Bombyx mori: one gene and its partners. The protein of the gene in region 1 binds, or shares a complex with, the protein of each later gene. Links are inferred from orthologs where the notes say so. Each region holds a gene or a part of one and is shown in the gene's direction. Other genes may lie near its edges.

What was found.
Region 2: small nuclear ribonucleoprotein G (region 1) and BUD13 homolog share a complex: the UniProt entries of both Homo sapiens proteins name them as parts of the minor spliceosome. The link is inferred for Bombyx mori from reciprocal best matches to the Homo sapiens genes SNRPG and BUD13.
Region 3: small nuclear ribonucleoprotein G (region 1) and pre-mRNA-processing-splicing factor 8 share a complex: the UniProt entries of both Homo sapiens proteins name them as parts of the U4/U6-U5 tri-snRNP complex. The link is inferred for Bombyx mori from reciprocal best matches to the Homo sapiens genes SNRPG and PRPF8.
Region 4: small nuclear ribonucleoprotein G (region 1) and G-patch domain and KOW motifs-containing protein share a complex: the UniProt entries of both Homo sapiens proteins name them as parts of the minor spliceosome. The link is inferred for Bombyx mori from reciprocal best matches to the Homo sapiens genes SNRPG and GPKOW.
Region 5: small nuclear ribonucleoprotein G (region 1) and 116 kDa U5 small nuclear ribonucleoprotein component share a complex: the UniProt entries of both Homo sapiens proteins name them as parts of the minor spliceosome. The link is inferred for Bombyx mori from reciprocal best matches to the Homo sapiens genes SNRPG and EFTUD2.
Region 6: small nuclear ribonucleoprotein G (region 1) and E3 ubiquitin-protein ligase RNF113A share a complex: the UniProt entries of both Homo sapiens proteins name them as parts of the minor spliceosome. The link is inferred for Bombyx mori from reciprocal best matches to the Homo sapiens genes SNRPG and RNF113A.
Region 7: small nuclear ribonucleoprotein G (region 1) and cysteine-rich PDZ-binding protein share a complex: the UniProt entries of both Homo sapiens proteins name them as parts of the minor spliceosome. The link is inferred for Bombyx mori from reciprocal best matches to the Homo sapiens genes SNRPG and CRIPT.

The regions. Positions count from the first base shown.
Region 1 is NC_085133.1:8,591,043-8,595,108, reverse strand, and holds the start of small nuclear ribonucleoprotein G, read left to right. Parts: upstream 1-1,266; 5' UTR 1,267-1,414; intron 1,415-1,688; exon of another isoform or gene 1,689-2,072; coding exon of another isoform or gene 2,073-4,066. Other genes in the region: uncharacterized protein LOC134201547, read right to left, coding at 2,073-4,066. UniProt on the Homo sapiens protein: Plays a role in pre-mRNA splicing as a core component of the spliceosomal U1, U2, U4 and U5 small nuclear ribonucleoproteins (snRNPs), the building blocks of the spliceosome.
Region 2 is NC_085130.1:5,568,787-5,572,835, forward strand, and holds the start of BUD13 homolog, read left to right. Parts: upstream 1-1,249; 5' UTR 1,250-1,387; coding exon 1,388-1,488; intron 1,489-2,020; coding exon 2,021-2,204; intron 2,205-2,314; coding exon 2,315-3,503; intron 3,504-4,049. UniProt on the Homo sapiens protein: Involved in pre-mRNA splicing as component of the activated spliceosome. As a component of the minor spliceosome, involved in the splicing of U12-type introns in pre-mRNAs.
Region 3 is NC_085114.1:12,596,045-12,599,544, forward strand, and holds part of pre-mRNA-processing-splicing factor 8, read left to right. Parts: coding exon 1-109; intron 110-279; coding exon 280-486; intron 487-567; coding exon 568-858; intron 859-1,065; coding exon 1,066-1,258; intron 1,259-1,726; coding exon 1,727-1,914; intron 1,915-2,090; coding exon 2,091-2,329; intron 2,330-2,553; coding exon 2,554-2,700; intron 2,701-2,854; coding exon 2,855-3,005; intron 3,006-3,232; coding exon 3,233-3,440; intron 3,441-3,500. UniProt on the Homo sapiens protein: Plays a role in pre-mRNA splicing as core component of precatalytic, catalytic and postcatalytic spliceosomal complexes, both of the predominant U2-type spliceosome and the minor U12-type spliceosome.
Region 4 is NC_085127.1:6,327,906-6,331,927, reverse strand, and holds the start of G-patch domain and KOW motifs-containing protein, read left to right. Parts: upstream 1-1,222; 5' UTR 1,223-1,529; coding exon 1,530-1,648; intron 1,649-4,022. UniProt on the Homo sapiens protein: RNA-binding protein involved in pre-mRNA splicing. As a component of the minor spliceosome, involved in the splicing of U12-type introns in pre-mRNAs.
Region 5 is NC_085121.1:1,473,641-1,476,602, reverse strand, and holds the end of 116 kDa U5 small nuclear ribonucleoprotein component, read left to right. Parts: intron 1-1,671; coding exon 1,672-1,864; intron 1,865-2,271; coding exon 2,272-2,425; 3' UTR 2,426-2,462; downstream 2,463-2,962. UniProt on the Homo sapiens protein: Required for pre-mRNA splicing as component of the spliceosome, including pre-catalytic, catalytic and post-catalytic spliceosomal complexes. Component of the U5 snRNP and the U4/U6-U5 tri-snRNP complex, a building block of the spliceosome.
Region 6 is NC_085108.1:7,586,020-7,590,018, forward strand, and holds the start of E3 ubiquitin-protein ligase RNF113A, read left to right. Parts: upstream 1-1,199; 5' UTR 1,200-1,449; coding exon 1,450-1,543; intron 1,544-2,813; coding exon 2,814-2,965; intron 2,966-3,516; coding exon 3,517-3,669; intron 3,670-3,999. UniProt on the Homo sapiens protein: Required for pre-mRNA splicing as component of the spliceosome. As a component of the minor spliceosome, involved in the splicing of U12-type introns in pre-mRNAs. E3 ubiquitin-protein ligase that catalyzes the transfer of ubiquitin onto target proteins.
Region 7 is NC_085130.1:5,681,330-5,685,438, reverse strand, and holds cysteine-rich PDZ-binding protein, read left to right. Parts: upstream 1-1,379; 5' UTR 1,380-1,641; coding exon 1,642-1,814; intron 1,815-3,400; coding exon 3,401-3,530; 3' UTR 3,531-3,609; downstream 3,610-4,109. Other genes in the region: drebrin-like protein, read left to right, coding at 1-500. UniProt on the Homo sapiens protein: As a component of the minor spliceosome, involved in the splicing of U12-type introns in pre-mRNAs. Involved in the cytoskeletal anchoring of DLG4 in excitatory synapses.

The DNA.
Region 1 (4,066 bases):
ACAATATTTATGTTTTTGTTAGTATAAAAATAAAGGTTTGCATATTACGAAATAAATATGAGTTTTCACCACCATTGAAGTAGCTTCTTGCAGTGCATTATTAATAAAATAGAAGCACAGATATAAATATTTTTATTAAGTTTTATTAAATATTAATTGGCAAAAAATTACTTAAATTCGTTTAATGGATCGATGTTTTTCGATTTTAAATCGATGACATTCGTACGATGCTTAAATACATTAAAATGTATGATATACTGTATAGACGTATATTAACAGTCTTTTTGTAAAACTTTTTACTTTATCTGTTGGTTCGGTCTTGTTTTTACTTTACGGAGTTTTTAATATTTTTTATAATTCGGTTTTGGCAAGCGGTTAGCGGTTAGGCATGCCTAATAGCTTAAGCTTATAAATGATGGTATACATTAATACAACCACAGTGATTCATATTTTTTTGGATTGTTATACCATAAACTGCGTTTATTTGTGATCTAGGACTGTATAAAGTAGCACGGACGGATGGAAGTAAAACATTTTGAACAAAGGGGTAACCTAGATACTCTAAGAGTCGGTGCACGAAAGCGTTTGTTAAATTTATGAATTCAGAACCCACCAACTAGAGCAGCAACCAGATAGACCCTGAGTTCACAATCATTAGAATTCTGTACAGTGCTAGAATAGATTTATTTATGTATTTTCCCTAGCAGCCAGTAATTGCCTTATTTTTGTTTTTTTCTATTGGCTACTGCCAGAAGTTACGTTGGAAGGCTTGATGAGTTTATCTTTACAAACGCAACCATTGTGATCATCTATAATATTATATTTTCAGACATTTTTGCCAAAGACCATCAAACACCCCAACAATCTAGCACCCCACTAGATGCTTCTTTTTCTATTTGTTCTGAGTGTCCTTTTAAGCTTCTGTTTTTATGTTTCGTATGAATGATGCATTATGATATTCTTATGCAAATTCATAAAATTTCATAAAACGTGATATTTTGTATTTAAAAATCTAAATTATAATGTATCCTCCCATGGTACGCTGCCATGGATATACTACTAGCCCAAGAAAGATTCATGTCAGACAGACGGCCGATCGTAAAACTCATGCTAAAATCTCTTTCAGCAAGTTATGAGGACCATATTACTACCATAAATAACGTAGATTTATTATGGCCGGGAAAAAGTAGCTCGATCAAAGCTGTCAAGTTTCTGACAAGGCTTAAGAAGAACTCTGCAATAGGCAGTAGCTTGACCGTACGTACCTCTGATATTGTTGATGTCCAAGATCTATAATTTCCAAAATTATAATCGTAATATCGCCGTGTCAAAGGTTCTTATTTAATTTTGGAAGTGGCAGCACTGTCTCAGACGGTAGAATATAGTAGAAAAGTTAAATTCATTGACAAAATTCCAAAGAGTATATAATCACTACGTTATAAGAGTCCGCACTTCATAGTAAACGTTACAAAATGAAAATGTATGGGATCAGATCCGATCTGGTGACAACATTAAAACAACCACAGACTACAAAAATCCTACCACTGTCAAAAATAGTGATGGGCATTAATATCGATGTCCAATAAATAATGATGCGAATATTATCGATATTTTTGTCGATATCGAATGCAGGCAAGGATTGCATATTGAAATAAAAACTTTATTATTTTAAAAGAAATAAAACAATGTTTTATTACTTAGTATAATTTTAATGAAATTTGTAAGTAGAATTTTAACGCTTACAAAAAATTTTAAGTTTGTATCGGAAATGTTTAATTTTTATTTTACAATATAAACCAATATTTACTTAATTTTATGCAAGGTACAATAAGTATACATGTAGAGGTTTTCAACCTTGTTTTATAATGTTATAACGAACTAGGTTTTGAAAATTTTTGTGCTAAATAAAAAACAATTCGTTTCTATTTCCATTTGAAGAGTAAATTTTTAAAAACTTCTATTTTATAATAGTAAAAAAATAAAGTTCTAAATCTCTAAATGTATACTTTTTTTGAACTCAAACCCGAAGTTAACTTCTTTCTACAAAAAACAAATAAAAACTAATTATGTAATTATCTTGAAACACCATATTGTTGACCCCTTTTGTTCGCGTCCGCCAAATCCTCTTCCTTTGAAACTTGCTTTAAATTAATTATCTGGCACTGTCGCCGAATCAGCATTAGAGCCAATTTTGTAAACAATAAGTCTGACATTTGTTGACGATGATTAATGCATAGCCACTCTGTATTACAATTTGAATAAAATATAGTAATTGTCCACTGGCAAATATTGTTATTATGTAGGTTAGGGATACAAAACTGTTCAAAATTTGTAACCGCAGTGTGTACAGTTTGACACAACTGCAATGATGGATATGTCAAACATTTCTTATCTTGCCACCACTCCCTTAATTTAATTAAATCATAAATCTTATTTTCCTCTGGATCTGCAACTGTCAAAGTTTCTCTACAGACCTGGCAATCATTTTTTTTTAGAATAACAGAAGCTAGATATCCACTTATATAGACCACTGGTTGATTTGAAATTTTTGCTAGGTCACATACTATTTCTTTATATTCTTCTTCTTCAGGTATACTGAGAACCGGGTTGTCTTCCTCATTTTCATTTTCTGTGGAAACATGACTAGGAGACTCATTAATATCTTGACCTTGATCATCTTCGTCTTTAAACCCAAAAACTAAATCATGAAAATCCGTCATGAGTTCCTTTTTGTCTTCTTCACAATTGGAGTTTTTGCTGTGAGGGGCGGTAAGTCCTGATATTATAGAGGTTTTCATAGCTGCTATAAATGTAGAACACGTCGGATGCTTGTTTGTTTGACCATGCTGTCTTATTAACCCAAATAAATTTTCTAATGCATCCTGGTTTAACTGCCGTAGATTCAAATACTTATATCCTAAATCCTGAACTTCCAGCCAAATATCACGCAGCGATTTTAATGATATAATGTAGCCTTGAACACACTTTACATTTTTTGCTTCCACGCCATTATGGTTGAAAAATGTTAAAGTAGACAGTTGCTTTCTATATTCTGTCCAAACAGCTAAATGGTCAGTTTTAGCAGATACGTTTTCCCGTATACCTTTTTTTACGTCAGCATGTCCTGATGGCCCATTTGTATAATCAAAAAGTTTATTGAATTTTTCAATTAACAAAGCAGTCTGTAATATTTCATCTGATCGGTGTACATTTTCCACATTCGTAGCTAATAATTTAAGAACAGCAGCCACTGTTTGGCTAAATATTTGTGCGGCATACTTAACTTTCATTTTAGCTCTGTACTTTGGTTGTACATGAGTTGATTTGAGTTTGCTAAGATATAAAAAATTTCTATTTCGTTCCTCTACCTCAACTAAATGGCTCCATTGACCTTTCAATTCTCCCATTTTCAGAAATCCTTGTTTTAAAAAGTTATTTCTCAGTGATTTTAATAAATGTGGAATATCATAAATTATATAAATTTTTTTATTTTCAAATTCAAAATAATTATGTCCACCATTGTTCCACTCCTTTAACAGACTTAATGCTCCCATATTGGTGGGCGCTTGATCACATATTGTTGATAAAACTTGAAATCCCGAGTTAGTAATTTCTTTAATTATATCTTTTATTAAAACTGCTAATTTTTCTGAAGATACTGTGCCTCTTATGAAATAGAATGCCAGCGGTTGTTTAATTTTTCTCCCAATACCTTGTAACATGAAGACTAAGGCATGATTTGCTAGCTCATCTTTCCTCTCATATCCATAATCGATAAACCCTTCCACTTTATCTGTGGCTTCGCTATAAGTTAACCTTTCTTTTAACGCTATTTCATCAAAGACTAGCGAACATAATTTTGCTCTTATTTTTTTAATGGGAGCTAGTTTTTTCAGGTGGTCAAGTACAGCTGTATTTAAACCTGGCTCAACAGGTATTTTTTTCATTAATTTTTGCAATGTTTTGATACTCGGAAATGGTGCGAGATATCGCAGATATCGGTAAGCTTTTGGTGAACGCTTGAAGATGGCTAATGCTGATATTTTATTTTTAATAGTCCAGCGTT
Region 2 (4,049 bases), on another chromosome or scaffold:
CTCTTCCATATAGGTTGGAGTGCGGGGTGAGACAAGGCGGGTTGAGTTCGCCTACGCTCTTCAACCTGTATATGAACGAGCTGATCGGCGAGCTCAGTAGGACCAGGATTGGTTGTTTCATAGACGGGGTGTGCGTAAACAACATCAGCTACGCAGACGATATGGTGCTGCTGAGCGCGTCTATCTGTGGCCTAAGGCAACTTGTTTCTTTGTGTGAGGGATACGCCAAATCACACGGTTTGGTGTACAACTGTAAAAAGTCGGAGATCATGGTCTTTGAGACCAGGGGTGGGACGCATGATAAAATACCTCCCGTAGTACTCAACGGAACGCCATTGACAAGAGTTTATAAATTTAAATATCTCGGCCATGTGTTGACCCCTGATCTCAAAGATGATGAAGATATTGAACGAGAGCGGAGAGCGTTGTCGGTTAGAGCAAACATGATAGCTCGCAGGTTTGCACGGTGTTCACTTAAAGTCAAGGTCACCCTCTTTAGGGCCTACTGTACTAACTTTTACACGTGCAGCTTGTGGGCTGGATATACTCAAAGATCGTACAATGCTCTCCGTGTTCAATACAATAACGCGTTTAGGGTGCTGGTGGTGCTGCCCCGCTTTTGTAGCGCATCAGGGATGTTTGCAGACGCGCACATAGATTGTTTTTACGCTACCATGCGTAAAAGGTGTGCATCTCTGGTAAACAGAGTGAGGGCCAGCTCCAACAGTATCCTGAGCATGATCGCAAGCAGGCTGGACTGTATATACATGGGTCGCTGTGGTGCCATCTCCCATGGGATGTTACCACAGTAATTCATTGTGATGTAAATATAAATACTAACATAGGTCTAAGTCTTATTAACAATTTATATGAGTCATGGATACTTGAAATAAAAACATTATTATTATTATTATTATTATTATTAATGGTTTAATATCTGTGAAAGTGCACAAATGAAACAAAGCCGCTGGACGTAGCTTCTAGGGATCCTCCAAAAAGCCCACTAAAGAAGTCTCAGTAAATAACCACCATTTTACTGAGATTATATTTCATCCCATGTTATCTTATCTCAATTTATTTCATTTCATCTCAGTTGATTAATGTCTCAAATTAATCATCTTCATTTCATTTTATTTCATTTGACTCCCTAAATCATTTTTCATAAAAATAAGAATTTAAATATAAAATAAGACATGACCCAAAAGTCTTAGTTACCAGGACATAAAATCCCTTTAAAAAAAGTGTATTATGGCTTTGAAACATTTGAAAGAATGTTGATTTGTGACATTTGTGTTTGTCTAAATTGATACCATAGATAATACACATAATAATATAAAGTTCGTCAAATTAATTTTCTAAATTAAATAATTTGAAATTTTATTTAATAATGGCTACGACTGTAAACCAGAAAGCGTACTTGCAAAAATACCTGGCTGGTCCATCGGGCGATAAAAAGAAAAAGAAAAAAAAAGTGCTAAAAGGAAAAGGGTAAGTCAACTGTAGACAATGTGAACAATAATTGAAATTAAACGTGAAAGAATTTACTATTTCTAAAAAAAATACCTTAAATATCTACCGTTTTGATATTTACAATTGTATTTTGGCATTATATTAAAGTGCTGTCGTCACACTAAAATGCATTTTAAAATTGAAAAAAAAATCATGTACATTTTCACGTATTCTCCTTACAAGTTATTGTATTTTAAGTAAGTATTGATTATTTGTATAATGAAATACATAACAAATGCGAATTAATTTCAAATTTCTTATTCCTGTCAATATTTTCATTCAGTATGGATGAATTTTTTGGTTGCTTAAGCATGTTGTTCTAATAAGGTTCGAACAGTACATTAACTATATCATCACTCTCGGCTCATCTTCCTTCAAAGACGCAAACGTCAGTTCCAAATAAAGAACAAAAAAAAATTCTTTCATTAGTGAAAGATACAGATGACAAATAACCTTACCTGTTGAAACACTAAAGTGAATATAAAAAATGTATTTTCTCATCTAATTTTAGGTTCAAAATAATAGACGATGACATTGACCTATCGAAGCTACGACCCCTTGAGGGTGACGAGTTAGATGTGTATGATGAAGGTGATGACGCACCGCAAGTAGCAGGTATCATCGATGAAAGACCAGAGCATATAAAAAAACAGGAACAATTCACCACTAGTTCTAAATGGAAGATCGTGAATCAGGTACACATGTTTATTACTTTATTTTTACTGTCAAGCCTTCAACATATTAAAAAACCATTCTAATAGAAATCTTATTCATCGATTATAACAGACACCGAAAATCGTTACAGGATGACGGATTCAACAGCAAACTACAAATTGAAGAGATAAAGAAAGATGTAAAGGAAACCGAGAAAGAAAACGAATTGGTCTTTGGAAAAATGTACAGTGATTCCGAAGATGATAAGCCAAATGTTTCAGAAGCTTCGCCGTCTGGAAGAGCTAAAAGCAAAAAAAAACACAACAGTGACAGCGACTTCAGCCCACCAAGAAGAGGGAATCCAGTGAAAAGGAATAATTCTCCTAAAAGAACTACTGAATATGATTCTGATCTTTCACCACCTAGAAAGCATGAGGGTCAGAGAGCTGAAAAACTTAAAAAACCAAGTCGTTGGGACAATGAGAAGGATAAGTCACCAAAGTCTTTAAGAGCTAATAACCACAGAAGATCTAAGAGCTCTGATTTGTCTCCTCTAAGGAAAACCCAAATGAATAAGATTTCTTCAGGACAAGATATGAAAATTCAAAAAAGATATGATGTGACATCTCCCAGAAAATCTAGAAAAGATGATTCAAAACGAAATAGACTTAACTCAGTTTCACCTCCGAGGCGAAAAAAATCCCCAGAGAAATCTAAATTTGGTCACGATAACAGACAGAGCCAGTTAAAAAAGTATAATGATACAGATTATGGTTCGAGGTATGACAAAAGATCTAACAGATCAAATTCAGATTCTGATATGTCTCCCCCAAGAAAGAGTAAGAGACAAATCTCAGAATCTCCCTGTAGAAATGTTCCACTAAGAAAAAAAACGAATGATAGTGATTCAGATTTATCTCCTCCCCGTAAAAATATAAGATATGCAGAAAACAAGTCCTATAGGAATGTAAGCAAAAAACCTCACAGGAGGAATGACACAAAAGACAGTGGTTCGGATTTATCACCACCGCGAAAGCTTAAGAATATAGATAACTACAGAAGGCATGACTCTGAACGTAAAAGAAAAGACAGAAGTTCAAAAAGAAATAATAGCGATTCTGATCTTTCTCCTCCTAGGAAAGATAGGTCTAACAAGAATGACAGTCCCCCTCCAACCCATAAAAAAATGGAGAAGACTTTGGAAGGAAAGAAAGCAGGATTACAAGATGCCAAGCAGCTGAGGCAAGAAAACGATGACTTTAGAAAGAAAGAAGAGGAGATGTTTAAGAAAATGAAAGATGATGTTTCAGGCAGGAATGCTCAAGTTGTGTCAAGGAAAGGTTAGAATTATTAATATAAAATTTAATTTAAATAATAAAAAAAAAGAATATTACACATATCTACGGCAATCTAATTTAAAATTATAAGTAATCTTTGTTACTTAATCTTACTTTATTACTTATTCTCTATTACTTTAGTACTTAACAAATGTTCACGATTGACTTCCACCATGAAGGAATAACATCGTGTAATAAAAATCAAACCCGCAAAATTATAATTTGCGTAATCACTGGCGGTAGGACCTCTTATGAGTCCGCGCTGGTAGGTACCACCACCATCCTGCCTATTTCTGCTGTGAAGCAGTAACGCGTTTCGGTCTGAAGGGTAGGGCAGCCGTTATAACTATACTGAGACCTTAAAACTCGTATCACAAGGTGGGTAGCGCATTTGCTTGTAGATGTCTATGGGCTCCAGTTACCACTTAACTTCAGGTGGGCTGTGAGCTCGTCCACCCATCTAAGTAATAAAAAAAAGTTACATAGTTAAAGTCAAAATAAATATGTGAGCATTCATTGTTCATGGAACATATTTTTATACAAAAATTT
Region 3 (3,500 bases), on another chromosome or scaffold:
CGACATTGTTGACATGATGCCTGAAGGTATTAAACAGAATAAGGCCAGGACGATATTGCAACATTTGTCTGAAGCTTGGAGATGCTGGAAAGCGAACATCCCTTGGAAGGTGAGTGCAATGAATAATAGTCAATCAATAAAGTCGTTTTAAAATATTTACAGATACGCAAAAGTCTGACTGTGTTCCTGTCTTTGCTAATGTCTACTCAGTATCAGATAAACTGTATGCTCATTTTGTGTTGTATGCTGCTTTGTAATTATAAAAAAGGAAAATTTTAGGTACCTGGACTTCCAACTCCAATAGAGAACATGATTCTTCGCTACGTAAAGATGAAGGCGGACTGGTGGACCAACACAGCTCATTACAACAGAGAGCGTATCCGCCGTGGTGCGACTGTCGATAAAACAGTCTGCAAGAAAAACCTTGGCAGACTAACAAGGTTGTATTTGAAAGCTGAGCAAGAAAGACAGCACAACTACCTTAAGGTTTGAATTATTTGAAAATTTGCATTTAATTTATATTTGGTGGTATGTTCTTATAATGTTCATTACAATGTTTCTCAACAGGACGGTCCCTACATATCTCCAGAGGAAGCCGTAGCAATCTACACTACCACTGTACATTGGCTTGAATCACGACGTTTCGCCCCAATTCCGTTCCCCCCTCTCTCTTACAAGCACGACACAAAGCTATTAATTTTGGCTCTTGAACGTCTCAAAGAAGCGTATAGCGTCAAATCCAGATTGAATCAGAGTCAGAGAGAAGAGCTAGGGCTTATCGAACAGGCGTATGATAATCCTCATGAAGCATTATCTAGGATTAAACGTCATTTGCTCACTCAAAGAACTTTTAGGGAGGTGAGTAATCTGATTTAATTTTCCACATAGGTACTTGGGTGTTTCTAATACTTGTACATATCTAAGGAATGTCAGTAACTGTCCAAAAATATAAAAGCTATTTTTTACACAAACAAAACTTGAAACAAACAAATTGGTGTGTAAATGATTTCATTTTCATTTCATTTTTCATCTGATGTTTTTTACATATATTTTTTCTAATTTCAGGTGGGAATTGAGTTTATGGATCTCTACTCCCATTTAGTTCCAGTATATGATGTAGAACCATTGGAGAAGATAACAGATGCATATCTTGATCAGTACTTATGGTATGAAGCAGACAAAAGACGTCTATTGCCACCCTGGGTCAAACCAGCTGATACAGAACCATCACCTTTACTTGTCTACAAGTGGTGTCAGGGTGAGTTAACTAATACTTATTACTTAATAACTTGTCTAATTACCACAACCTGAGTGCTGCCACCCATATTTAGACTCAGGTCTCAAACTGTTTCTATAATGGTTGTTCATGATTTCATGAAACAAAATGTATCACTTTATCAGTTTTTATTACCACATTTGCAAAATTCGTAAATTATAAATTATATTATTCTAACTACAGTAATAAGTATTATAAATACTAATGCTTGAAATTAAATTAATAAAATATATACTTTTTACATTATATCGTTATTTTTATAAACTAATTCAATAGGTAGATCAAAAAATTATTAAATATACAAAATACAAAGCTTATTCTCTTATAATACTTGAATTCTGTCACCAAACAATACAGAAGGTTGAGCATTAATAAAATGATTGTGATATAATTTTTAATATTAATTCTATCTCACAATTGATCTTGCTATTTGTTCATCATCCTGAATAGGTATTAACAACCTTCAAGACGTATGGGAAGTTGGTGAAGGCGAGTGTAATGTCTTGCTCGAGTCACGTTTTGAGAAATTGTATGAGAAGATAGATTTGACGCTGCTTAACAGGTTGTTACGTCTCATTGTGGACCATAACATTGCTGATTACATGACTGCTAAAAACAATGTAGTGATCAATTATAAGGTGAGGAAAACGGAAAAACAGTTATTTAACATTAAAATTAACCCCCATGTCTAAGTAAACAAAAAAAATGCTAATAGAATCTAAAAAATGAACATACTGTAATAGTAAACAATCCTCAAAAATTATGATAAAACTATTGTATTTAAATTTTTATTAAATTTTCATCATTATTTCAGGATATGAATCACACAAACTCATACGGTATAATTAGAGGTCTTCAATTTGCTTCCTTCATCGTCCAGTATTATGGCTTAGTGCTAGACTTACTGGTGCTCGGTCTACAGAGAGCCAGTGAGATGGCTGGCCCACCACAACTGCCTAATGACTTCCTTTCATACCAAGATCGTCAGACAGAAACTGCTCATCCTATTCGATTGTATTGCAGATACATAGATAGGATTCATATATTTTTCAGGTATGTATAATAATATTTTACGGTCATAGAAATTCATATTCCATTACTATAATTTATAGGTAATCAATATCCTTTCACTTTTTCTTTTAATATTAATAAACGTAATTTACATTGGTTGAATAATAGGTTTTAGTGACTGACAGTAACCTTTTAAGTTACTATAATGATCCAAGCAAGCATAAGAAATCAAGTCTTCAGTTTAAATAATTCATTTTTGGTTACAGATTCTCAGCAGAGGAAGCAAGAGATCTGATTCAACGCTACCTTACAGAGCATCCTGATCCCAACAATGAGAACATTGTTGGTTACAATAACAAAAAGTGCTGGCCGAGGGATGCTCGTATGCGTCTAATGAAGCACGATGTTAATCTGTAAGTTTTAGTTAAGTTAGTGATCATGAATAGTTTATTATGATAAATTTAAATATAATAATTATTATTTATTGATTGAATTAATTTAACAATCAATATTAAATTATTGAAGTAATAGAATACTGAATGAAATATTATATTTTCTATGCAACAGTGGGCGTGCAGTATTCTGGGACATAAAGAATCGTCTACCGCGTTCAGTGACAACTATACAATGGGAGAACAGCTTTGTATCTGTTTATTCTAAGGACAATCCCAATTTGTTATTCAATATGGCTGGATTTGAATGCAGAATCTTGCCAAAGGTAAGTTTTAAGATATATAACCCTCTTATTCTAATCATCATGTTAAATATTTATTGTAGTATATAGATAATACTGTCTACCATGTAACATGAAACTATCATAGTACTAGCAACCAAGACCAAGTTGCCAATTGTGCAGGCTGACGACACTACCTCGGATTGTGCTCCACAAATTCTACTTAATTTTCACTCAATGTGTCCATTACTAAAAGATGTTTATTTATGTAGTGCCGAAGTCAACATGAAGAGCTGTCGCATCGTGACGGAGTATGGAACCTTCAGAACGAAGTGACCAAAGAGCGCACAGCACAATGCTACCTACGTGTTGATGACGAATCCCTGGCTCGTTTCCACAATCGTGTCAGACAAATCCTTATGGCTTCCGGATCAACGACCTTTACCAAAATCGTCAATAAATGGAATACTGCTCTTATTGGTAAATCGAATTTGTCAAATTTTAGATTTTTTCCAACTTTCCTTAGATTCGTTCAAAATT
Region 4 (4,022 bases), on another chromosome or scaffold:
TCGGCTACCACAATCCCCGCATTCTCGCAAATAAAACGTCATTGACAGTCGTCCCACAGCAAGCCAGCACCGCAGCCTCAACAGGACCATCGCAGCCGACTCACCGCGCTTCCTGGTCCTACGGCACACAACTTCACTGCTTCATCACGCCGCTACAGTTCATCGCAGCCCACGACCGGATCATCAACGCTTGGGGTCACACATCTCCGGCGTGGCAGCTCTGCATCACATGGACTACGCACGACACGCACGCAACGTTCAAGCTCAGTCTCGACTCACTGCAGACTTCGAGCAGCACTGGCGACAATCACGCAGCATTCAGCTCAGTTTCGACTCACTGCAAACTTCGAGCAGCACTGGCGACACGCACGCAGCATTCAAGCTCAGCCTCGACTCACCGCAGGCTTCGAGCAGCACTGGCCCTTGCAAGCTAATCTCAGCACGGACAACGCTAACTAAAAAATGACACGACCTCCAGTCTCGGAGGGGAGTGATGTGGCGGGCAGCCATCATACAACGCAAGATAATTGACAGATGCCTGAATCTCGCTTACGACATTTTCAAGATAAAGCGCATATATACAAGTTCCAAACAACAACATTCGGACCGTCGGTCTACCGAGCAATATCATCCGCTCGGTGGAAGATCTTCCCTTTGTCGTATATACCCAAATATCTATGGCATACACGATAAAGGCAGAACTCTCAAAATTCTCAAATATTAAGTGTATAAACTATGGGGCAGAACGGCGATATCATCTAGTCTGACTTTTTGGCGGGAACGCGAAGAGTGAAGTTGTGTGATTTGTTTTTATTTTGTCTAATTAGTGTTTCTTCAGGTTTCAATGTGTAATAACGGTGGTTTATTAACTGTTTAGTATCTGTGAAAGTGCACAAATGTGGGAAAATGAAACAAAGCCGCTGAACGTAACTTCTCGGGATCTTCCAAAAAGTCCACTGAAAAAGTCTCAGTAAATGACCACCATTTTACTGAGATTATATTTCATCCCATATCATCTCTTATCACTTCATACCATTTCATCCCAAATGATTAATGTCTCAAATTAATCATCTTCATTTCATTTCACTCCATATTATCATTTTTCATAAACATAAGAATATAAATTAAAATAAGACATGACTTAAAGGCCTTAGTTACCAGGTCATAAAATCCCTTAAATTTTTTTTGTGTATAATCTATGACCCATAGATTTTTTTTGGTACAACTTTTCCTTATTAGGAAAAGCAAGGGGATCTACGCCCATACAATCTTTGACCCATAGATTATCCATTTAATACTTTACTGGATGTCAAATGTCAATATTATGTCAAACTCAAAGCAAGAAATTTGATCGACATCGTTGAAATTATAAAGTGAAGGTCAATGCGAAGCGAAGCAAACCAAAACATATAAATTCAAGTTATTAACGAATATAATTTTGAGCGAATCAAATCAAAAGTGATGCATTTGCAAAATTACTTGTCTGTTTTAGTAAATTTGTGCAGTTTATAAGAACTATAAGAACGAAAATGGAGGGCAAAAAAATATCTTTTGGTTTCATGAAAACGAAAAAAGCAGAAAAACCAGTCGTAGACGAAAAAAAGGACTATATAGAATGTGTAGAGGAGAAATCTATCAAAGTAGTCGGGTAAAATGACATCAAATACTTTAGAAAACTACGTTAACATTTTAAAATTTTATTGTTTTCATTTTAAAATCAAATGTGCTCTTTTTTTTATTGCTTAGATGGTTGGATGAGCTCACAGCCCAACTGGTGTTAAGTGGTTAATGGAGACCAGAGACATATACAACGTAAATGCGCCATCCACCTTGAGATATAAGTTCTACGGTCTTAATTATAGTTACAACGCCTGCCCCACCCTTCAAACCGAAACGCATTACTGCTTAACGGCAGAAATGGGCAGGGCGGTGGTACACACCCGCGGGGACTCACAAGAGGTCCTACCACCAGTAAAAAACAACAAATATATTAATTTACTTTAAACTAGATATCAACTGACTTGCAGACTTAATATTAGTAATGTCACTTATGAAAACGATCATAGAATGCTGCAGTCATAAATTCTATGAAACAATTTTGCTTGAATGGAGATGAAATTTGCCTGCATTTTTAACCAACAAAAAGGGGGCTCCTGTGTTCTTGTAGATAGTAGGATCTTCCCTTTTCCACGCGATATCACCCTCATGAACAGTGATTACATTGTTTTTTAAGGAAAATACTAAAAATGATTCCAAAATCAAATACAAAACAAACAAAGAAAAACTGGGGAAATGTAAAATAAAAATGGGACTTTGGGTAAACAGTCTTCCTAATTTATGCCAAAAAAGATCTCCAAAATTGAAATGTGGGAGTATGTACCTCACATCAACTTCTACACATCTACCTTAACACTTAAATTTTAGCTTTCCATGTTAACTATAAAATTTTACCAAACTCAATCTGCATTAAGGTAAAAGCACTAATGCTGGACATTGAACTAAAAGATGACACTTTAAAAAAAAAAAAATTCTAATAAGGAAACTAAACACTTAAATAACATTGCTGTTGATGTTAGACACCTAGTACCATGTATGATACATTCTCAAAAGCTTGCGTACAGTGTTAGAAGCAAATTTCAAATTGGCATCAGTTGACAACAAACAATGTGAGCAGGTTGACGTTTTGCGCGTAATTCTTAGCGTATTCCTTAAGCCATCTGACTTTTAACAGGTATGATTTTGTCTTATATTTATAATTATTGGCTACTGTTGGTTTCGATATTATAAATGTATGAAATTATTGATTTATTAGGACCAATTCCTTGTTATTTTGGTTTGTTTTTGTACAAATTTTAAGTGGTGTTTACTATTAGTACCAAAAATGAATCAAAACCTAAAAGATGACACGTGTGTCTTCTACTAGGGTTACATCGAACTGAATTTGTTAGCTTAATTTTCTTCAAATTCAGCCTTTATGTTGTAAAACAAAAGTTTCAATCTGAGTTTCGTTCATTTTACACTAGTCTAACTAAACGAAGACAGTGTCAACTATTAGGGTATACTAGATGTCAACTATTAGTATCAATTAATTTCAGCTTAAGTTTCGAGCACGATGCCACCAGTAAAGGGTCGGATGTTTCAATACTCTGAAGCCAATATTGAAGAAGCCATAAAAGAATGTATATGTTTGAGGATTTACTGGTGGCCCTGAGGCCTTTCCAGTTTCACAAGGACAGAAGGGACGGGATTTGCTAACAGCTACCCGAGCGCCTCCAAGGGAGACCTAACAACTCAAGAGTAGCTGCTTCGCGAATGAATCTACTACCGGATCGGGATCGCGACCCGCTGAGAAGATCCGGCGAGAAACTCAACGGGCTGATGCTTAGGTTAGGTTGCACGTTAGGTTAGGTTGAACTCTTTGCAGAGTTCGACGAATACCATTACCGGGATCTCTACTCCTAGTGTTAAAGCGGAAGGCGTCTAATGTAAGGGTTATTGGATCTGTTGGATCCGTAAGGAGGTGTCTAGGGCGACGACGGTGACTGGCTCCTGCGTGGTCAGGATTCGGGGAGTAGTCAGCGGCGGCAACGATAAGGCGATTATCATGACGCATTGCCTTATCGAAGTAACGTTCCGACGCGGACTTCATGTATTTTTTGATCGGTTCGAGGTCCAAGTCGTCGTGTAAGTCGACGTTCCTCACGAACCACGGGGCTCCGACTGCTAACCTGCAAAAACGAGATTGTAGGGATTGGAGGGTGTCTATGTGTGTACGGGCCGCGTGAGCAAACACCACACTCGCGTAAGTCATGACCGGCCTTATGTAAGCTTTGTAAAGTGTCACCTTGTTCCGAAGGGACACTTTACTCCGCTTACAGATCATGGGGTAGTCTGCCGAGAATAAAAGCGGCACGGTCGCGGACTGATTTTATATGTGGGTGGAATGTCATGGATGCATCCAGGGTGACTCCCAAGTACTTGACCTTCCTGGTTCAGGATATGAGGGGGGGCGTTCCGACAGC
Region 5 (2,962 bases), on another chromosome or scaffold:
GGCAACAAGATTGTTATAATTCTGATTACAACCAGGTTGCTCACTGCTAGGAGTGGGTGATATAAATCGTATATAGATTCAATATCTATATATCGCAGCAATATCGTTGAATCCGATATCGCCCCGCACGAAATCTATATATCGATATCAGCCGATACACGATATTGCTCGATGTGATGCGCATCGCCATATCGGACCGATTCGTGAATCGAAATCTATATTTCGATATCAGCCGATACACGATATTGCTCGATGTGATGCGCATCGGCATATCGTACCGATTCGTTAATATCAGCAATATTCGTTTGGTTCGTATCGAATCGGCCAGAGTGAGTGAGCGCACGATAGCGATATCATGTGATGAATGAAACAGAAACAGGCATTATCCATACAATTGTAAACCTTATATTTAAGTCCATATGTCTGTAGATTATTCTAAGCGTATCAGCAGGATACAATTAAGGAAAGAAGTTTCAACTTTCGACCCTAACTTGAATGCAGTATAGCCTATTTGCATCGTTGAATTTAATTTCACGCGCTTTGACCTTGAACTAGAATTTTTGGACAAGTGTTTATAAATACTTCAAAGTTTTTTGTGTTTGATTTTTAAAGTACACATTTTTCTATTTTTAGTTAAATCCAAATAATTGAGTTTATTTCTTGTGTTTGTATTAAACTTTTGAAATCTACACTCTTTTGGTATATTTTGTAATTTTAAATTAAGACACAAAATACTAAAAACTGAAAATAATGTAGCCAGTCCTAAGCCTGGTAAAAGCATGAAGGAAAGTTTTTTTGATATTTTTATTTTCATGTTCTTTTTATTACTTTAAGATCATATTATAAATTGATATCAGAAAACCAACCGTATAACGTTGACTTAAATACTACGATATTATATCGGCGTATCGTTTCAAATCTCAAATATCATGAATCGAGAAAATCTACCAGCATCCATCAATATATAGATTCAGAAAATATATAGATTCAATATCCGATATTGATCCTCGATATATAGATACGATTCGATACGCGGCAAAACCGATATTACCCACTCCTACTCACTGCGCACGTATCCGCAATTGTGCCCGCACAGTGCGGCGACCTTAGCGCAAATGCGGTTTTTCCTTTAAATATATACATACATATTATGTATATGTAGGAAGATCGGTATTTTTTTTGATCAGGTTCACACTGACACATTAGAATTATTTTAAAATAAGAATAATGAAAATTACAGTCATCGAATGACATGACGAGGTAAGGAGGGTTTTTTTTTGGAAAATAAAAAATTTTGGTATGAAAGTCCACTAGATTTCACTCTACCGTCCCACATTATATACATGTTGTAATATATAGTGCTGTTGATTCCACCGACTGAGCCGGTCATCGGGGTTTTCGTCGAACCCGTCGCTTGCGACGAAGGGCTCGGCGAGTAAATTAACCCACAGACACAGCCCACTGAGTTTCTCGCCGGATCTTCTTAGTGGGTCGCGTTTCCGATCCGGTGGTTGATTCTACGAAGCACAGCTCTTGTTAGGGATCGTGTTAGCAACAACGTCAGGTTTGAGCCCCGTGAGCTCACCCACTCGCCCGGTGACGCTGATATGGTCTCACAAGACTATCAGCTTAGGTAGAAAAAACCGACTGAGTCTGTGGCTCGTCGCGCAGGTCACGTGACCCAGGACGCTCCGGTCCCCGGGTCGCCGCTCTACACCATCAAAGCGTTCGTCCCGGCCATAGACTCGTTCGGCTTCGAGACCGACCTGCGCACGCACACGCAGGGCCAGGCCTTCTGTCTGCAGGTCTTCCATCACTGGCAGATCGTGCCCGGCGACCCGCTCGACAAGAGTATTGTTATCAGGTGAGTTGTCTAGTTTGGATTGTTTTATCTATCTAATTTATAAAAATGAATTCCTGTTCGTTAGTCTCGCTAAAACTCGAGAACGGCTGGACCGATTTGGCTAATTTTGGTCTTGAATTATTTGTGGAAGCCCAGAGAAGGTTTAAAAGGTAGATAAATAATAAATGCTCGGAATTAAATATAAATAAAAAAAATGTTTTCTTTTTCATGTGTCCCCCGTCGGACGGATTCGTTTTGTTTATTTTAAGTTTATTTTATACAAAAGCTTAGGTCTTTTATTTATCGATTGAGGCACTACGAAGTCTGCCGGGTCAGTGTATTGACGAAGATAATGATATTTATTATAAACGAATCTGTATCAGCAGTGAATGATAAAATCATATTTAATTCATTTTTTATTTATTTAGGCCATTGGAACCACAGCCAGCGACGCATTTAGCCAGAGAGTTCATGATCAAGACCCGTCGACGCAAGGGGCTCAGTGAGGACGTGTCCATCAATAAGTTTTTCGACGATCCTATGTTGTTGGAGCTGGCAAGACAAGACGTACAACTTCATTAATTATATTTCTGATTTAATAAAATTTACCAAACAATTATTTTGGTATTTGTTTTTCATTTTACGTGCAAAGTTTTGATAAAATTACTGAACAATAACATAATATATATGTAGTGAAAACATATTATTATAGTATGTAATACATAGATTAATTATTATAAATCAAAACTAAAAAACATTTGCAGTTGTATGTGAAACTTTTGGCGTTATACTATTCATTCTATATATTTTTTATTAAATCCATTAAACCTAGAGGGAGTGCGCGGTACTTTATAAAATTGCCAAACGTTAAAGCCGGCAGAGGTGACATGTTAATATTTGTCGCATTTTAACGATTTATCCTAGCGATTATACTACTCACAAAATAAATCCAACAACATACTAATGTTAGGTAGTTAAGCCATAAGTTTCTCGGCTAATCTAAATTAGTAAAAAAAAATGTATTCATTATTCAAATTGTTTTACTATTTTGTCATGTTCACGTTTATCAAATTTATCGGTAGGTGCCTAACAGTAGAAACATAGTTCAGAATCGGCAGT
Region 6 (3,999 bases), on another chromosome or scaffold:
TATGCGAGCACACAATACCTATACACAATTATTATTTTTACAGTTTGCATTTTATTACACGATGTCATTCTTTTATTGTGTTTCATAAATGTGCACTTCTCATAACGGTCATCTAAGAAATACAAAACGGGGCCGCGTTGCAGAATACGGCAATATTAAGCCTGACAAGTGACAAGCAATCAGTGAGCGCTGTAACCTGTGACGTTTTAATACAAGGATCGATAAAACTAGACTGAGTTTTTTGTGCATTCCTTAAAATATCAAGTCGTCGTGCCCTAAAGGATAAATCGTCCGGTGCATTCGTGTTGAGCGATGCACCGGTGTTCGAATCCCGCAGGCGGGTACCAATTTTTCTAATGAAATACGTACTCAACAAATGTTCACGATTGTCTTCCACGGGGAAGGAATAACATCGTGTATTAAAAATCAAACCCACAAAATTATAATTTGCGTAATCACTGGTGGTAGAACCTCTCGTGAGTCCGCAAGGGCAGATACCACCACCCTGCCTATTTCCGCCGTGAAGCAGTAATGCGTTTCGGTTCGAAGCGTGGGGTAGCCGTTGTAACTATACTGAGACCTTAGAACTTATATCTCAAGATGGGTGGCGCATTTACGTTGTAGATGTCTATGGGCTCCAGTAACCACTGAACATCAGGTGCGCTGTGAGCTCGTCCATCCATCTAAGCAATAAAAAAAAAATTACACCCTAAACCTTTTAGCATTCAATATTTCCAGTTTGTATGGTAAATTATGATTCCACTTCCACTTTATTTCAAGGCAGCTAATGACTTTATTAATTTATCTATTTATTATTACTATAAAAGAGACATGAACATCGTGATAAGAATAGTGTTTATTATGTCCATTACAATGTTTGAGTTTTAACTCTGGTTTCAACTTTTAACAGTAGTAGTAGAAAGGGCTTAAGTGTGAAAAAAAAAAGAATTCCTCAATGTGGCTGTGTGGCTGCTCGGGTCCCTTCCAAATTGCCTAGAAGCCTCAATAAGTCTCCGCTAATTTACTGACAGGCTATTTTATTTCATCTTATACAACATGTACGGCTTTCTCTTATTTAACCTTATTATTCCATATGCTAATTTAAGTTTTGATTTAACTTCAGGCATTGCTATAAATGTTTAAGCTATGTTGTATGGGCAGTATTCCCTCCATTCAATAGACAAATCATAGTTTAAAAAAACAACTATCCGTCAAAATCAATCACATGTCAATGTTAAAAATGAGCATTATTTTGATCATTGCCAATATTATCATGTTGTGAAATGCAAAAATTAATTAAAAACCCTATAAATACCGACAATACTTGAAGGTCCTAAAGTGAAATACAGTACTTTTATTTAGTATTATTGTGTCCTCATTAATGATTATGTAGATATTACTCTAATATCGTAGTAAGCACACACTAGGTTGAATAAACAATCGTTCAAAATGTCAGACGCCGAAGTGGAAGTACTCAGTACTTTTAAAAAACGTAATATTAAGAATAGGGGTGGCAGAAAACGTAAAACTTCCAGTTCAGAAGGTAATATTGATCGTTAAGTTATTAAATTATTCTCCAAACGAAAGACATCTAAGAATAGTACATTAAAACTATCTCATCGCTTCTTCATATCCTCTTTCTCACTGTTCCCAGACCCCCGTATTATAAGTGCTTTTATTAAGTGTATAACTACTAACTATAAAATTATAATTATATGTAGCGCATTATTCTCTGTACATAATCTTTATTATAATATGTAAGTTTGTAGTAACATTAATTTTGTGTTAGTCCCAGGCACCATTAATATAGCCAAAATTGGATACTTTTTATAATATAAAGTGTGTTTAAATAGCTCGACAATGTTCCATATGTAGCCATAACACGACACTGGCAGAAATTGCTGGCAGAAACTATCGGCAGATTACCATTATAAAAAAAATATATCGACGCTTGAAAGGCAAAAGTGACTAAGCGACAATAACTGCTTTGCACATAAATGATAGGCAATAACCATATTCGATCCGCAAAAAATATATATTTCTAGGTCTATTAAAATTATTTCAATCCTACAGCTACTAGCTAGTTTCTACTACAACTGGATTCGTTAAAATAAATTTTGTTTTCATGTATTTCAACTTTAAATTAGTCTACCGTAAAGTTCACGCATTGTCGCTTAGTCACGTTTGCCTTTCAAGTGTCGATATATATTTTATCATATGAGGCCGTCAGCGCAAAAGCAGCCTAAGCGTACTATAGTTATTATGGAGCAATGAGGCTTTAGTTTTCATGAATTTGAATTTGAGTTGGCAAAAAAAACAATATGCGCTAAAATAATGATTACAAAGCCATCTGCTTTCTATGGGTGAAACTATGGATAGGCCGGTTTTGCATAAAAATTTATTATATATTAAATAAATTGCAATATACATGATTATAAGCATGAAAAATTGTGGGTTAGGCCACTTTTGCGCTGACAGCCTCATATATACTTGATATTTTTTTTTTTTATAAATATAAATATTTACTAACAATCACTCCACGTTAACTGGTCCCGTGCTAAGTTCGTAAAGAACTTGTGTTACAAGTACCAGATAACGGAAATAAATATAATATTTTTATTATACACATATATATATATATATATATATATATTTAATATACACCCATAACCCTGGAAAGACATTTATATTTATCATACAAATATCTTCCCTTGGCGGGATTCGAACCTGCGACCCCCTTGTGTAGTGACCATGTCACTTACCACTACACCAGACGGCTGCTTAATATATAATTTAATATAGTAACGTTTCAGAGAAAAACAGCTCGGACTCTGATGAGCAACAAGTAGTTCTACCAACGAAAAGGGTGAACAAACCAAATCCAAACATACAGTCTACAGGAGGTCCGAAGAAATCCAAAATTGATGTAATTGAAGATAATGATGATAGTAATGATGAAGAAAAGGTATAGTAACATTAACAGCTCATCATCATCATCAACTCACTTGGATATCATCAGATTTGATAATCTGATCTATAATGAGATCTGCACCTTTGAAGCACCAGATATAAGATATCATAAACAGGCTGTTGGTCCATCTTGTAGAAGGCCTACCCACACTTCAAATCTTCACATACTTCATACATATTTAGATATATAATAGCCACTTGAGAACTTTTGGTTCCAACAGCCTGCTTGCTGCCATTTCAGCCTTTCGGGTTGTCTTTTTTTATTCCTTAAGTTCTTAAGTGGTTACAGGAGCCCATAGACATCTACAAAGTAAATGCCGCCATGCATCTTGAGATATTTGTTAGTGTCTCAGTTATATCTCCACTGAAATCAATATTATCAACAATTAGAGCAGTTTATCTTTACTTAAATCTGGCACACATCTTTTTATCTCTTTAATCTTTTTACACGTCATCTTTATGTTGAAGTCTTGTCTTCTGTATTGAACATAAAAAAAAACCGTTTTAAGATCCATTTAGATCAACATAAGCTTACAATTCTTTCAGACTTCTCAAAGGACAACACTATCGGTTCAACAACAGAGAGAGAATGCAACAGCTACCTATGAATTAGACACAGAAAAGGATAGAGATGCCCAAGCCATCTTTGAGAAGGCTCAGAAGATCAATGAAGAGTTGCACGGACAAGCAGATGATAAGGTATCCATTTCTTCTTCTTCTTCTTCTTCTTTGTCGTTTCCTCATTACTGAGGATCGTGACCACCTTGGTCCAGTTTTTGCACCAGCTTCCTCCAATGTTGCCTGAGGGAGAATGCGGGAGGGACAGCGTAACCGCTCTAATGTTAAAGAGCCTAGGCTCGGATGGTACCAAGATTTTACACTCCATTTGCCAGAAAATATGGCGTACTGGCCAGTGGCCTGAAGACTGGACGGAATCAATGTTAATTCCTCTCCATAAAAAAGGCTCCACGCGCAAATGTGAGAACTACAGGTATCCATTTAACAGTATTGAAATCGCACACTTCGTGG
Region 7 (4,109 bases), on another chromosome or scaffold:
AGCGACTCCAACCCGAGCATCACGACCACCAAGAGCCTACAACAATAACCGACGAACATCAATCTCAACCGATGTCCAAAGATGATGAAAAACCCTACAAAAATCAAAACGATGCACCAATTAAATCAGAAAGACCAATGGACGTAGAGCATAAAGAACAGACTTATCAAGAGGATGCGAATTTCATTGGACAGGAACAAAATTACGAAGCAACAGAAATGCAATACCAACCTGAATACCAAAATAATTACGAGGAGCCGACTTACGCAAACGAACAATATGAAAATTATGAACAATATCAGCAATATGCTGACCCCAACGCGCAATATAGCGAAGAACAATACAACAACATAGCCGAAGTCAACTACCAACCCGAGCAGAATTACGAACAAAGCTATGAGAACACAGCGGAGGCTCCACAAGAACAATATTACCCAGAGTCAAATGACACAAATCCAAGTGATGCTCCAACGAAAATGGCGGAGGAACATCAGAGTTAGCAATTCGTATGTTTTTATTTCTTGCAACATTCCGTTACAACGCTTTTGATAGAGTAACGTGCCACTAATATAGATTAGCTTTCGGCGTCGGATAAATAAACTATGAAAGTTGAATGTGTTGAATAATAAAATCTATTGAAATGTTTATCGAGAAACGAGTTAATAAATCGCTCAATACTTATATTGCAATTGGATATGATGTTTTATTTGATGTTTTTTTTATCTACAGGGAAAACGTGATTATTTTGTTTTTTTCTTCAACTTAAGCCCCATGATCTCGATTTTGTCTTGACGGTTTCTAAAACAATATACAAAGTACTTAAGGGTCAGGGTGCGCACAGAAGTCGTGTAGGACTATGCGATTTATAAGTGGCACGAGTTGGCTTCGAACCTATTTGGACTGCCAAGCAGTTCTTGTTTGCATGAGACCGACGTTACACTATTTAATTTGAAGAAAATACAGCACGAAACATTAAGGACTATTTGGCGGGCACTCAAGCTGTTACTTTTTAATTTAATGTCTCTTCAGGCTTAAAATTTACATATTAATCGATTAGAATTCGTAAAAGTACATTGAAATATTAACCGTAGTCTTAGTGAAAAATAGGCCGTGGCATAACGGGCCCTTCCAAAAAGTCCGTGGAAAATAGGAAGAATAAGTCCGTCTTAGTAAACCAACTGTCCACCCATTTGATTGCAAGGTATTTTCATCTCATCTAAGTCCTGACCGTCTTTTATATTAATTCATTGAATTTCATTTTCTTTATTCAATTTAATTCCAGAACCAATTCAATTTGTATTATGTATTGTTTTAGTTCCACTTTTAATACCACAGACACGGAACCGCACTTCGGTACAAGTTTTGACTGTATGGGCTTCATTCCTGTTGCCTATCCAAATGACAATTCAAAAGAAAACTATTAGTAACAACATCAACTTAAATAAATTTTATTTCTAACAAATATTAAGTGTATTAACTATGATTTCTTAATAAAACTAGCTGTTCACTAGCAGAGCATATTTTAATATTTGATAAGTAATATTTAATTAATATAACCTACATATTATTCAGTCAAAACAACAATTTAATAAAATTTCGTACTAATACAAGCTCGTTAGGTTAGTAAGAAACAGAACAAAAATGGTTTGTGAGAAGTGCGAAAAGAAATTGGGCAGAGTAATAACGCCGGACCCTTGGAAGGCTGGAGCTAGGAATACCGTGGAGTCCGGCGGACGTGTTGTTGGAGAAAACAAAGCATTAACCGCCAAAAAAGGACGATTTAATCCGTACACTTCCACATTTCAACAGTGCAAGTGAGTAATCCTGATGTTTAAAAACCAATTTTGCCTCATACATTCTTAATAATACTTCCCCAATTTTACCTCATACATTCTTAATAATACTTCCCCAATTTTAACTCATACATTCTTAATAATACTTCCCCAATTTTAACTCATACATTCTTAATAATACTTCTCCAATTTTAACTCATACATTCTTAATAGTACTTCCCCAATTTTGCCTCATACATTCTTAATAATACTTCCCCAATTTTACCTCATACATTCTTAATAATACTTCCCCAATTTTACCTCATACATTCTTAATAATACTTCCCCAATTTTAACTCATACATTCTTAATAATACTTCTCCAATTTTAACTCATACATTCTTAATAGTACTTCCCCAATTTTGCCTCATACATTCTTAATAATACTTCCCCAATTTTGCCTCATACATTCTTAATAATACTTCCCCAATTTTGCCTCATACATTCTTAATAATACTTCCCCAATTTTACCTCATACATTCTTAATAATACTTCCCCAATTTTAACTCATACATTCTTAATAATACTTCTCCAATTTTAACTCATACATTCTTAATAGTACTTCCCCAATTTTGCCTCATACATTCTTAATAATACTTCCCCAATTTTGCCTCATACATTCTTAATAATACTTCCCCAATTTTACCTCATACATTCTTAATAATACTTCCCCAATTTTAACTCATACATTCTTAATAATACTTCTCCAATTTTAACTCATACATTCTTAATAATACTTCCCCAATTTTGCCTCATATATTCATAATAATACTTCCTAATCCCGAACGCTTCAGACAAACACACTAAATACTGCTGGACTTTTAGTTACCAATATGTAAAATAACAATACAATAAAAGTTAGTTGTTACTTGTTTGAAGGATGTTTTTTATATTCATTATCCCTTCTTCTCTTGAGTGATTTATTTAGTACACTACATGGGTAGATTAATAGGGCCATAGATGATTGTAATGTGTACGTTGTTTTTATATGAAGAGATGCAGTTGAAGATTTATTCGAATTTAAAAATGGCTCTCCTTTGAAAATGGGACAAATTTATGGTTGCAATAACTAGGTTTGTGGAACCTATTTCAGTACATTACACCATACCACCTCCACCTCCTCGTGTCGTTTTCCTCATTACTGAACTCCCCCGCTGCATCAGTTTCTTCCGTACGATTTCCCTCCATCTGCTGCGATCCTTAGCTTCATGAAGGACATTGTGGAAGTTGATGTTCAGAGAAGATTGTATTTAGTCCGACCATCTCGTGGTACTGCATCCTCTTGGACGTTTGCCATCTTCCTTTCCTGTCAGCATCAGCTGTTCTAGATTGTGACCCTCTTTACGGGCAATATGTCCGAAGAATTCCAGCACCCAACGAAGGCATATATTGGAAAGACTAGTTATGATATTAAGCTCTCTCAGAATAGTCACGTTGGTGAGAAAGGCATTCCATGGAATCTGTAACGTTTTTCTCCAGCTCCACATTTCAAAGGCGTCTATTAGGTCTAACCATACCTCCAGTAAAATGTATTAAAAGTTTTTAAAATATATTCTTTTATTTTTCAGAATCTGCAGAACGAAAGTACACCAGGTCGGATCACATTACTGCCAAGCTTGTGCATACAAAAAGGGTATATGTGCCATGTGTGGAAAGAAGATTCTAGACACTAAGAATTACAGACAGAGCTCAACTTAGTTTATTGTTATGTTATCCTAGTTCATAAGAAACATTACCTAAATAAGTTCTAAAAGAAAAAATATAGTGTATTTGTAAAGCAATGCTTTATATGCCTTGGACTATTTTAAGATAATAATAAAGATACTGGAAATTTCCTCACGGATGGTAAAGTGTGATTGCTTCGAGGAATAAACAGATAGGATTGTAATGCCAACCTATGAACACCCACAATTAGCGGTACTACAGATAATCAAGACTTGAATCCAAGAAATCGGTTTCAAAAATGAAATGAGAATAATTCTAACACTCATGAATGATGACAAATTATAATGATTGTTACAAGTTGTCATCTGTCCTATCTATGTTCTAAATAATCTGAATAATTCTGAATATATGTTTATTTATTTATTTATAACTTTATATACTAAACGGTATAAAGGACTTAATGCCATAGGCATTCTCTAACAGTCTACCTTAGGGGGGTGCAGAGATGAACCTTGGTAGGTGTAGTGTGAAGGTGATATTACTTAAACATATGTGTATATGAGTCGTCTATTATCAAAGGTGGCAATCTGTGCATTTGGACAAAATATTTTT